2 linked regions of the Drosophila melanogaster genome follow. The protein of the gene in region 2 interacts with the protein of the main gene of each other region in a pairwise test. Each region holds a gene or a part of one and is shown on either strand. Other genes may lie near its edges.

What was found. Proteins that work in one complex are often made in the same cells at the same time.
Region 1: the proteins of CG9101 (region 2) and CG1636 interact in a two-hybrid assay, tested with the Drosophila melanogaster proteins (one large-scale study listed by BioGRID).

The regions. Positions count from the first base shown.
Region 1 is NC_004354.4:8,271,521-8,276,706, reverse strand, and holds CG1636 (uncharacterized protein), read right to left. Parts: upstream 3,296-5,186; 5' UTR 3,160-3,295; coding exon 2,953-3,159; exon of another isoform or gene 2,901-2,952; intron 2,428-2,900; coding exon 2,081-2,427; intron 1,999-2,080; coding exon 1,499-1,998; intron 1,440-1,498; coding exon 1,345-1,439; 3' UTR 506-1,344; downstream 1-505. Other genes in the region: CG15343 (uncharacterized protein), read left to right, coding at 3,500-4,014, 4,086-4,212; CG1632 (uncharacterized protein), read right to left, coding at 4,588-4,767.
Region 2 is NC_004354.4:15,228,195-15,231,764, reverse strand, and holds CG9101 (uncharacterized protein), read left to right. Parts: upstream 1-1,889; 5' UTR 1,890-2,073; coding exon 2,074-2,330; intron 2,331-2,422; coding exon 2,423-2,762; 3' UTR 2,763-3,021; downstream 3,022-3,570.

The sequences.
Region 1 (5,186 bases), 7.0 Mb from region 2:
ATTTTTTAGTTTACAGACCTAATACGTAAATATGTTGTACAATTAAACAGTTCTAAAATCGATTCCGATTATGAAATGAGCAAATGAGAATTCATGTTGAGAACGTACGATTGCAAGGATATCAAAAACAAAGTTTCGAAGGAAGAAACGCGAAACCTAAAACCAAATGAGAAACCGAAATTTAACTAGAGAATTCTTTTCAAATATCAAATAAAGCAAGAACATTAATAATATAATATAATATTTCAGCCACGATGGGAGAGCTAAGAAGTGAATAAAACAAACGAATGCAACCAACCCAGTAACAACAACAACAACACACACACACATTTCAATTGCGCTCGTTTAGCCCATATATAGTATATTTCAATTAAAAGAACGAAAAAAAAAACAACACATTACAATATTTCAATATGTCATTAAGTCACAGCGAATAAACAACAACAATAAGTTGAAGGCGACTTACAAATCTAAACGAGAGAGAAACTGCGATCGTGTGTGCGAGGGAGAGAGAGAGAGAGAGAGTTGGTATAGAGATATAGTAACTATATGTATATATATCATCAGCGACGATCTCCGTTGGCGCCAAAAATCGAGCGATACTAACTAAATTTGCTAAGGTCTTTCAGCCGCTTGGTTTATGCGTGCTGTCTAAATCGTGATTGGTAGATATTACATTTAATATTGATCTAGAGTTTTTATAAATAATTGTTAACTAGTGACAACAGTGCGTCAATTGTTGTATTGCTCGCATCGAAACGCACTGTGGTTTATTATCGAATAAGTACTATTAGAACAGTGCGTTTGGCAACAGTCGAATTCGACGTTTTAAAGATATATAACATTATTTTAAATACTTCTAGGAGATTAATTTTGTAAGCCTCACTTTTCGATTTTTGCGTATATAGCCTTTGAGATTATCTGCACGTTTGATTTATCGTTTATATTCATGTTTTAATTTTGACAACCTTTAGTTGTTATGTTCTTAACGCGTATATTTGAATCGTTGAGATATTTAAATAATTTTTGATTAAAAGCTACCAACTGATATTTTTAAAGTCTTTACAACAAAAACGTTGACAAATTTACAAATTTTCAAGTGTTAAATATTCCTATTTTTTGATTACGATCTGAATGTTGGCCAAAACGCACTGTTCGCGCTGATCGCGTTCTAGCTAACACGCATAAACCGAAATCAGCCTGAGTGAGAGAGAGAGAGAGAGCGCTAGTTTCAACTTTGTGAGTTATTAGCCTAAGCTGAACTTGTGTCTTTTTTGGTTTGGTTTAAGGAAATGTGGTTTTCTACTGTGTAAAAGTGTGCTGCGTCCGTGCGGTAGGACGCGATTAGGTATCAATGGCCTGGTCATCGTTGTCATCCTCCGGCTCATGGCCACGTCCCTCGCGAATTCGCTTCAATTTGCGCTTAAGCATCATGACGCCTGCCAGGGAAAATGATTGTTAATCAGATATTCAACATCGGTTAGTGCAGGAAGCTTACATTTTATGGCCTGAAAGGTTTTGGCCGAGGCCGAACTGGTTTCGGAGGGCAGCGAATTGGACGTGGTTCTAATGTGTGCCAGCTTTACCTCCAAATAGGCCTTCTTCAGTGTCTTGTAGTGCCGGAACTCACTGGTGTCCTTGACCAGGATGCACTTAGCCGCCGATCCCTCGCCCGAACAATCCGACGGCGCTGTGTGATATATCTGATGGTAGAAGTATTGCAGCACCGGCGAGTTCCAAATGGAGAGGCCGTACCACAACCAAATGGGCACATTCAGGGAAAGCTTAAAGTTCTTGGCGAACAGCGTGGGTATGAAGTACTTAAAGGGCAGTAGGTTGACAAACACATACGCCCACACCATGATGCGCAGACCGAGGAAAACCTGGTAGATGATCCGGTGTGAATTGGTGCTGGGCAGGACCAACAGGGCTAGCACCTCGGTGAGTATGCTGTACAGACCCACCGTTAGATTCAGGCCCACAAAGTAGTTTTCGTACCTAAAAATAAAGAGTATTTAATATTTTCGAGCTTAAATGGCTCCAGGCTAGAATGGTAGGGACCAAACGTGTCTCGACTTGCCTGTAAACATCGATGGCGACGAGGGACAGCAGGTAGAGTCCCTTGGAGCCCACCTCCAGGAAGTCAGCGTCCTTGAAGTCCAACCACGCCCCATGCAGGTAGAACGTGATAATGAAGATCGAGTAGAACTGAAACTTTTCCGCCTGATGAGATCGATAGAAGATCAGGTTCTCCGAGGAGTAGAAGAGCGAGTAGCGTCCTTGGTTCTTCATCAGCTGCGGCAGGATCATGAACTCGTTGTAGAAGTGCAGGAACAGGCAGCTGGCCGCATAGAAGGCGATGTTCCAAATGACGCGGGCGAACAGCCTCCGCTGAAAGTGCTTCATGCTCGACGACTTCAGAAAGAACTGAAAAGGGAGAGGAGCAATTAGTCGAGCATTGGTCTTGGGTCACTACAGATAATGGTTTATATGGCTTATGGTCAGCGCCGATGGGTCGACTGTCACCGGACTTATGCTATCACCAAAGCCAGGAGCGAAGTGCCAACCGAATGGGGAAGGAAGTACATCTGAATCCCTTAAACAATGACTGTCGGGAGTAAAATCAATACTATCTTCGCCTTATATTGATTTTACAAGAGACAACATATTTAAATAATAATCATTTACAGCTTAGTTGCAAGCCAAAACAATACAAAAAGTGCCGCATTTCGTTGTGTTTTGAAGCTTTTCAAAGGGTTGGTAACAGTATTTTTAGCGCCCCACTCGGTTGGCACCCCGTCCACCCCCGGAATGCGCGAATCCGGCACCGTGTCCGCTCTGTTTATTTATAAACGGCAAATTGGCCGAGCAACCCCTCAAAAGAAAAGTGCAATTGGAGGCGCCGCGTCGAGGGTGCTGCGATTGAAAGGATTTGCCACGTGCTGGACCCACCTGGAAGAGCCGCTGGAAGGCGTAGTAGCCGCAAGACAACGCCACGAATATCCAAAAGACCCCGTTGATCAGGTAATAGAGGTCTATGTCCCGCACCATCGAATCGAAGCGGTCGTTGGTGATCAGGTATTTCAGCGGCAGAAAGAAGTTGCTGATCTCCGCCCAGTAGTCGGGCGGACCGGCCTTCATGTCCAGAATGGAGGTCATGCTGCTCCTCGGCGGGATTTCCCGTTCTGCCGCCCCAGAATCGCGAGTTGGTGTTCCTCGTTTTCAGCCGAAAATTGGGAGAATTTGTTTCGTTTCTATGTATCGATAGTAACCGATAGCTTCGCAAATATAACGTGAAATCAACGGCTATCGATTATAGAACCGCTGCAAAGTACTGCGCTTCTGTTACAGTGCTGTTAGCGTTAACAGCGCGCAAAGTGCGCCAAATTTGAATGACAGTACATTACTTCAGTTATAAGGGGCTTTACCAATTAACATTAAATGTGTATTACATTTTCAAAATGTATAAGAATATTTTTCGCTTCAAGGACCCACCAATATGACCTCCTCTTTGGCCAAAATCGAGGACTTTCCCTCCGATCCCGTTGAATTTTTTAAGGAGATCCTTCAGGAAGCTGCCAAGGGACATCCCGATGGATTCATACAGGAAATGAACCTGGCCACCGTGGACGAGGAATTCGGTGTGCTCAACCGCACTGTTCTGTACCGCGGACTCACCCAGGATAACTGTGTGTTCTACATCACCCATCGGTACGTTCGCAACTTCAAGAACCTTCAGGCCAATCCCAAGGCCTGCATCACCTTCTATATGCCAGATGTTAAGGATAAGGCCGGAAATCAGAATGCCTGGCAGGTGAGATTGATTGGAGCCACCGCCGTGGAACTTGACCAAAGCGAAATGGATGCTTTGTGGGCGAAGGAGAATTTGGCTGCCCAAATCAGGGGTCACATCTGTCCCTGTGGAGAACCGATTAACTACGATGATCTCAAGGCAAAGCACGATCAGTTCCTTCTGGATCACAGAGGAAAATCCATCGAGAGACCAGCAAGCTAGTGAGTTTCGAAGTTTATATGTATATCTATATTTAGTAAATTAACATATACATAATTACAACTTCTTCTAGTACCGCTTGGAAATTCCAACCGCAGCGTTGGGACTTCCTGAAGGTGGGTCTCGACCAAATCGCAGACCGGGTGCAGTACCGCCTTCAGAAGGATGGGAAATGGAAATCCATGCACGTGTCCACCTAATTGTGGTATACCCCCAGTAAAGCCATTATCTTGATTTTGGACGATTTCATTTTATTCAACAATATCTTTCTACAAACAGCTAAACGTACAGACTAACAACTAAATTTGCTTCCTTTTCGACATGTTTAACATACAATTACAACATAGTTAATAAATATTACACAAAACAGCAAAAAAAAGGACGTTTAAAGAATACAGTTAGCATAGAGTTACATAGGTTCGAGTAACATTAGAGCAGGTTAGTTACATAGTACATATGCTTAATTGCCTTACTTGCTTTGCTACACACACACATAATACCCAGTGAGTTTCGGTTCCGTTTTCTACACAAATGCGCTGAGGGGCGTGCCGCCGCCCCCTGGTGAACTATCCCGACTATATCGCGCTGATCGTCTCGCGGATCCAGGCGGCATTCGAGGCGATCTTGTCGTACATCCTGGGCCGCTCCACGCCCGTGGGTCCGCACGCGATCCGCCAGGAGGAGACCCCAATGAGCGCCCACTGATTCGTTCCGGGAATCAGGCACTGGACAGGCGCTCCCGAATACTCCTCTTGCTGAAAATGAACAATATGAAATTCAAAATATAATAATAAAATATAATTTTGGTCCACTCTAAAAAATGATATATAGTTTAAATTTTGGTTGCCAACAGTTTCTGTCCACTTTCAAATTAAATATTTTAAAAATAATTTTGTAATATTATAATAGGATCCACTCTGTTTTTTCAATATTTCACCATTGAATTAAACTCGTGCCACCCCAATTGGCGATCGTGACGTCACACGCACGCGACATGCAGCAACGCGCTTGGCGTAGAGCAACAAAAACAAGCAGTCGAAGCAATAACAAAGTTGAATGAGTAATTTTTGCTTCTCTTTTTTACTCTCTCCAATTGCCATTCAATGTGAGCACGAGCGAACACACATAAGCAACCCCCGTTACCTGCGAAGGTTTACCTAGGATAGCAGAAACA
Region 2 (3,570 bases):
AAACTAATGAACCTTTCAACTCACTGCAAACAGTGTTGCCAACCATGGATTAAGCCAAAAAAAAAAAAAAAAAAATGTTGATAGAAGCGAGGTCCTGCCTTTAAAATATCTGCAGTTGTTGGGGATTATTTTTATGTAGGCCACGAATTACAACAGCATTTTTGGCACTATTTTCGCAGGATTTGTGCAGCTGTTGAACTTCATATTCATATCGTCTTGTAAATATCAATCGATTAAGATTTTTAGTAATTTATATACAAGAAATTGTGTTAGTGAAAATGCATTAATAGTTTGCTTGTTATTAATTGAATTAAATTGAAATAGCGATAAAATAGGTATGAATTTTAAAATTGTGGGTAAATTTTATTTTTCGAGTATTCCGGACTCTAAAATTGAGTGGTATTCATATTTTTTATGTGAAGTATAGTATAGTATATTCATAAATATGAAATATTCATAAAATAGCCAAGTGGCATGTTCTGTTGCCCGAAAACATTTTGCATGTGGACAGTAGTGAATTGTGGCAGCATCGGATATTTCGCAGTTAACGAAGGACTGTGGGTGCCGTCCGCCAAATTTGCCCACGGCGCTGATTTTCCCGACTGTATGCACTATGTGTGTATTTCCATTCGGACATGACATTTTCACCCGGGGACCGCAGGGCGCCAGGATCCCAGGACTCTGGAACCCAGAAGTATGCGTATTTAACATTTTCGTTGAGGATCCTTTGGCCGGCGAAAAAAAAAAAACGGAGAGAGCGAAACTAATTTATTTCCATTAGTCGGCGACGTCGGCCGCGTGAAATATTTCCGCTAATTGGCATTTGGCAGGCCGCGCAGCAAGTAGATCCTGGCAGCCTGGGCGTCTGGGTTCCTGGGTTCCCGGGTTCCTGGACTTCGACCCACACAAAGCATTCCGTAATTAATCATTTTCTGATTTGGCATCGGTGCCTGCACGGCGGCTCTGGCATTTTTCCGGCCATTTGGCGACGCCGGCTTCGCATTTTACGCGCCGTTAAAGTTTAATCGAAAAAGTATTTTTGTGGCCAATGAAAATTCCAATAACGAAATGCCAGCCGCAACAAACTTCTTGACTTTTTTATGCCCAGCCGGCAGCCGGAGAAGTTTTTCCGACCCCCCGACCCCCCCCCCCCTCACTCCTCACTTGCACCTGTAGCCCAGGTGGACTTTGCTTTTGGCCCTTACTTTTGCCTTGGCTTGATTAGTCTGTGTTGTGGGGAGGGTGTCTTGGTAGAGTCCCGTATCCGGACATTGATGCACCCGGATGAGCCGGATTCGGAAGCGAAGCTTGAACCGGAGCCGGAGCCGGAGTACGGAGAATGCCTGCATTTGATGGACATCGTGGCCATGGCCCATCGTCAAATTGTCTGGCTGAACTTTCGAAATGTGTTGCGTTGTGGCCATTCGCAGGAAACAGGAAAACTTTTCCCTCTAATGCGCAATTAAGCTAAAATTCCGGTGGATTCGTGGCAATTCGGGCAGAGGTGGTACATTGTGGATCATCACCTAAACGACAAATCCTCCGGATGCCCCGGTCAAAATACTTAAAAATGGACAGCTGCATGAGATGGGATCAATGAAGCACTGGAATTTTAATTGAATGGCTAACAAGTAATAAAATATATTCATCCGTAGTCCGAATTCACAAAGAGTGTAATAAAATTGTACCATCATACTTGGGATGAAAATGTTCGTTCCTAAATGCACAATATGTAAACAAAGTTAAATTGGTATTCTAATCCTAAACTCTAGACTTGGATTTTCTACCATTTTAAAAAACTTAAGAAGGCACATATACAATTTCCAATTTATTTTTACCCAGGAGTGCTAAGTCACAAATTTCATCAGAACAAACAGAAAGCGATTTCACTTTCCCCCATCAGTTAGTTTAGCAACTCAAAATCTCTAGCTATGAAAATTGTATCTGTTTGACAAAAAACAAAGAACTAAAAACACCAACATAAGTACACCAGTTCACAGGTTTAACCCAGACCCAACCACAAAAGTACACACAGAGCGAATCTAGCTGGGATTATCCGAGCACACACTCCAAATGGGCGCCCAGTTGGCCGGCGAAACGCGTGCCGAGGGTGGCGGTGCAGGACCAGGAACAGGACCACACCCACCGCAAAAGCAGGATTCGACGACCAAGAGGTCGGAAAAATCGGACCAGACGGAGAAAGCGTTGCCGGGGCAGACGAAGCAGGAACCGGATGGACAACCGATTCCCAAACAGGAGTATCCACAGCCGATGCCCGTTTCCAGACGCCTCATAAGATCGCGCAGCTTCACCACCGATATCCAACGAATGTGAGTATCCTGCAGCAAGGTCATCAAAAATATTTGAAAATTTTTAAAAGAGCAGTGGTGAAAATTCGTGATTATCTCGATTTTCATTTCAGGCCAACGGAGGCCATTTACGCGGAATTCGATCGACTGATTCAGCAGGTGGAGGGCCATCTGGGGCCGGTGGCGGTGGAGTCACCGTGCTTGGATGTGGCCGCCCGGCTGCAGAGCTGCCTCCAGGCGCACCGCCAGCGGTCGTGCAACTGCTTTGCAGCTATGGAGGAGTACCGCAACTGCGTGGTGCGTGCCACACAGAATCGCGTGGACGACTTGGCGGACATGGAGCCGCCAATGATGCCGGTGGTGCCGCCCCAGGTGATGCCACCTCCCGCTGTGCCGCCGCCAAATGCGCGTGGCAACCGCAGGTGGTGGAAGTTTTGGACCTGGTTCCGCTAACCGGATGCAGTTGTCCGTTTATCCGCCCAAAAACACGATGCTAGAGAAACGGCTTTATTAATTTAAATCATAGGACTTGAATCCATTTTCGTAGTTTTCCCGGCTGCAGATGTGACCAAAAAGGATGTCTACTTCAAGTGAATTTAGTCACAGTGAATGCTCGGAAATTAAACGCGGCAGCGTTTAGTTCAAATTGATAAATTGAAGCCAAGTAGATAAATAATTTGTATGTTCTGTGTAAAATAAATATTTAAACTTCAATAAGCCCAGTTTTTTCTGGTATGTCTGTTGTTAATATTCGCACTTAATTATATTTATAACATGATCATGAAATGTAGATTTTAGAAAAAGTATCTCTTATCTGCAGTGACAGATTTTAGTTACTAATATTTGTCGTTAATTAATTGAAATTCCAAATGGGCCACACGATGACCAATAACTGTAAAATTCAATAGAAAATTGCATTGAAAATTGCGGTCGACAATAAATGACGTAATAAATGTTTCCCGAGCAGCCAGCCAGCTAGCCACCTACCTATGTTGCAACACAGACTTTGACTCAAATTGTAGAGCCAAGCGAAAGGCAATTGCAAAATGTAAGATTTACCACAAGCTGCACGCGTGTAATTCTATGCTTTCAATTTGTGCCGAGTCAGTGGATGCTTTATGTCCATCATAGAGGGCTGTCACTGTGGCCGACAGCAGAGGTGCTTCTGTGCTGCTGCGCTTATGAAATGCAGATGGAGATGCCGAGCTCCCGTTGCACATTAGCCTCCAGGGAGTAGAATTCCCCCACCGACTCTCTCTGT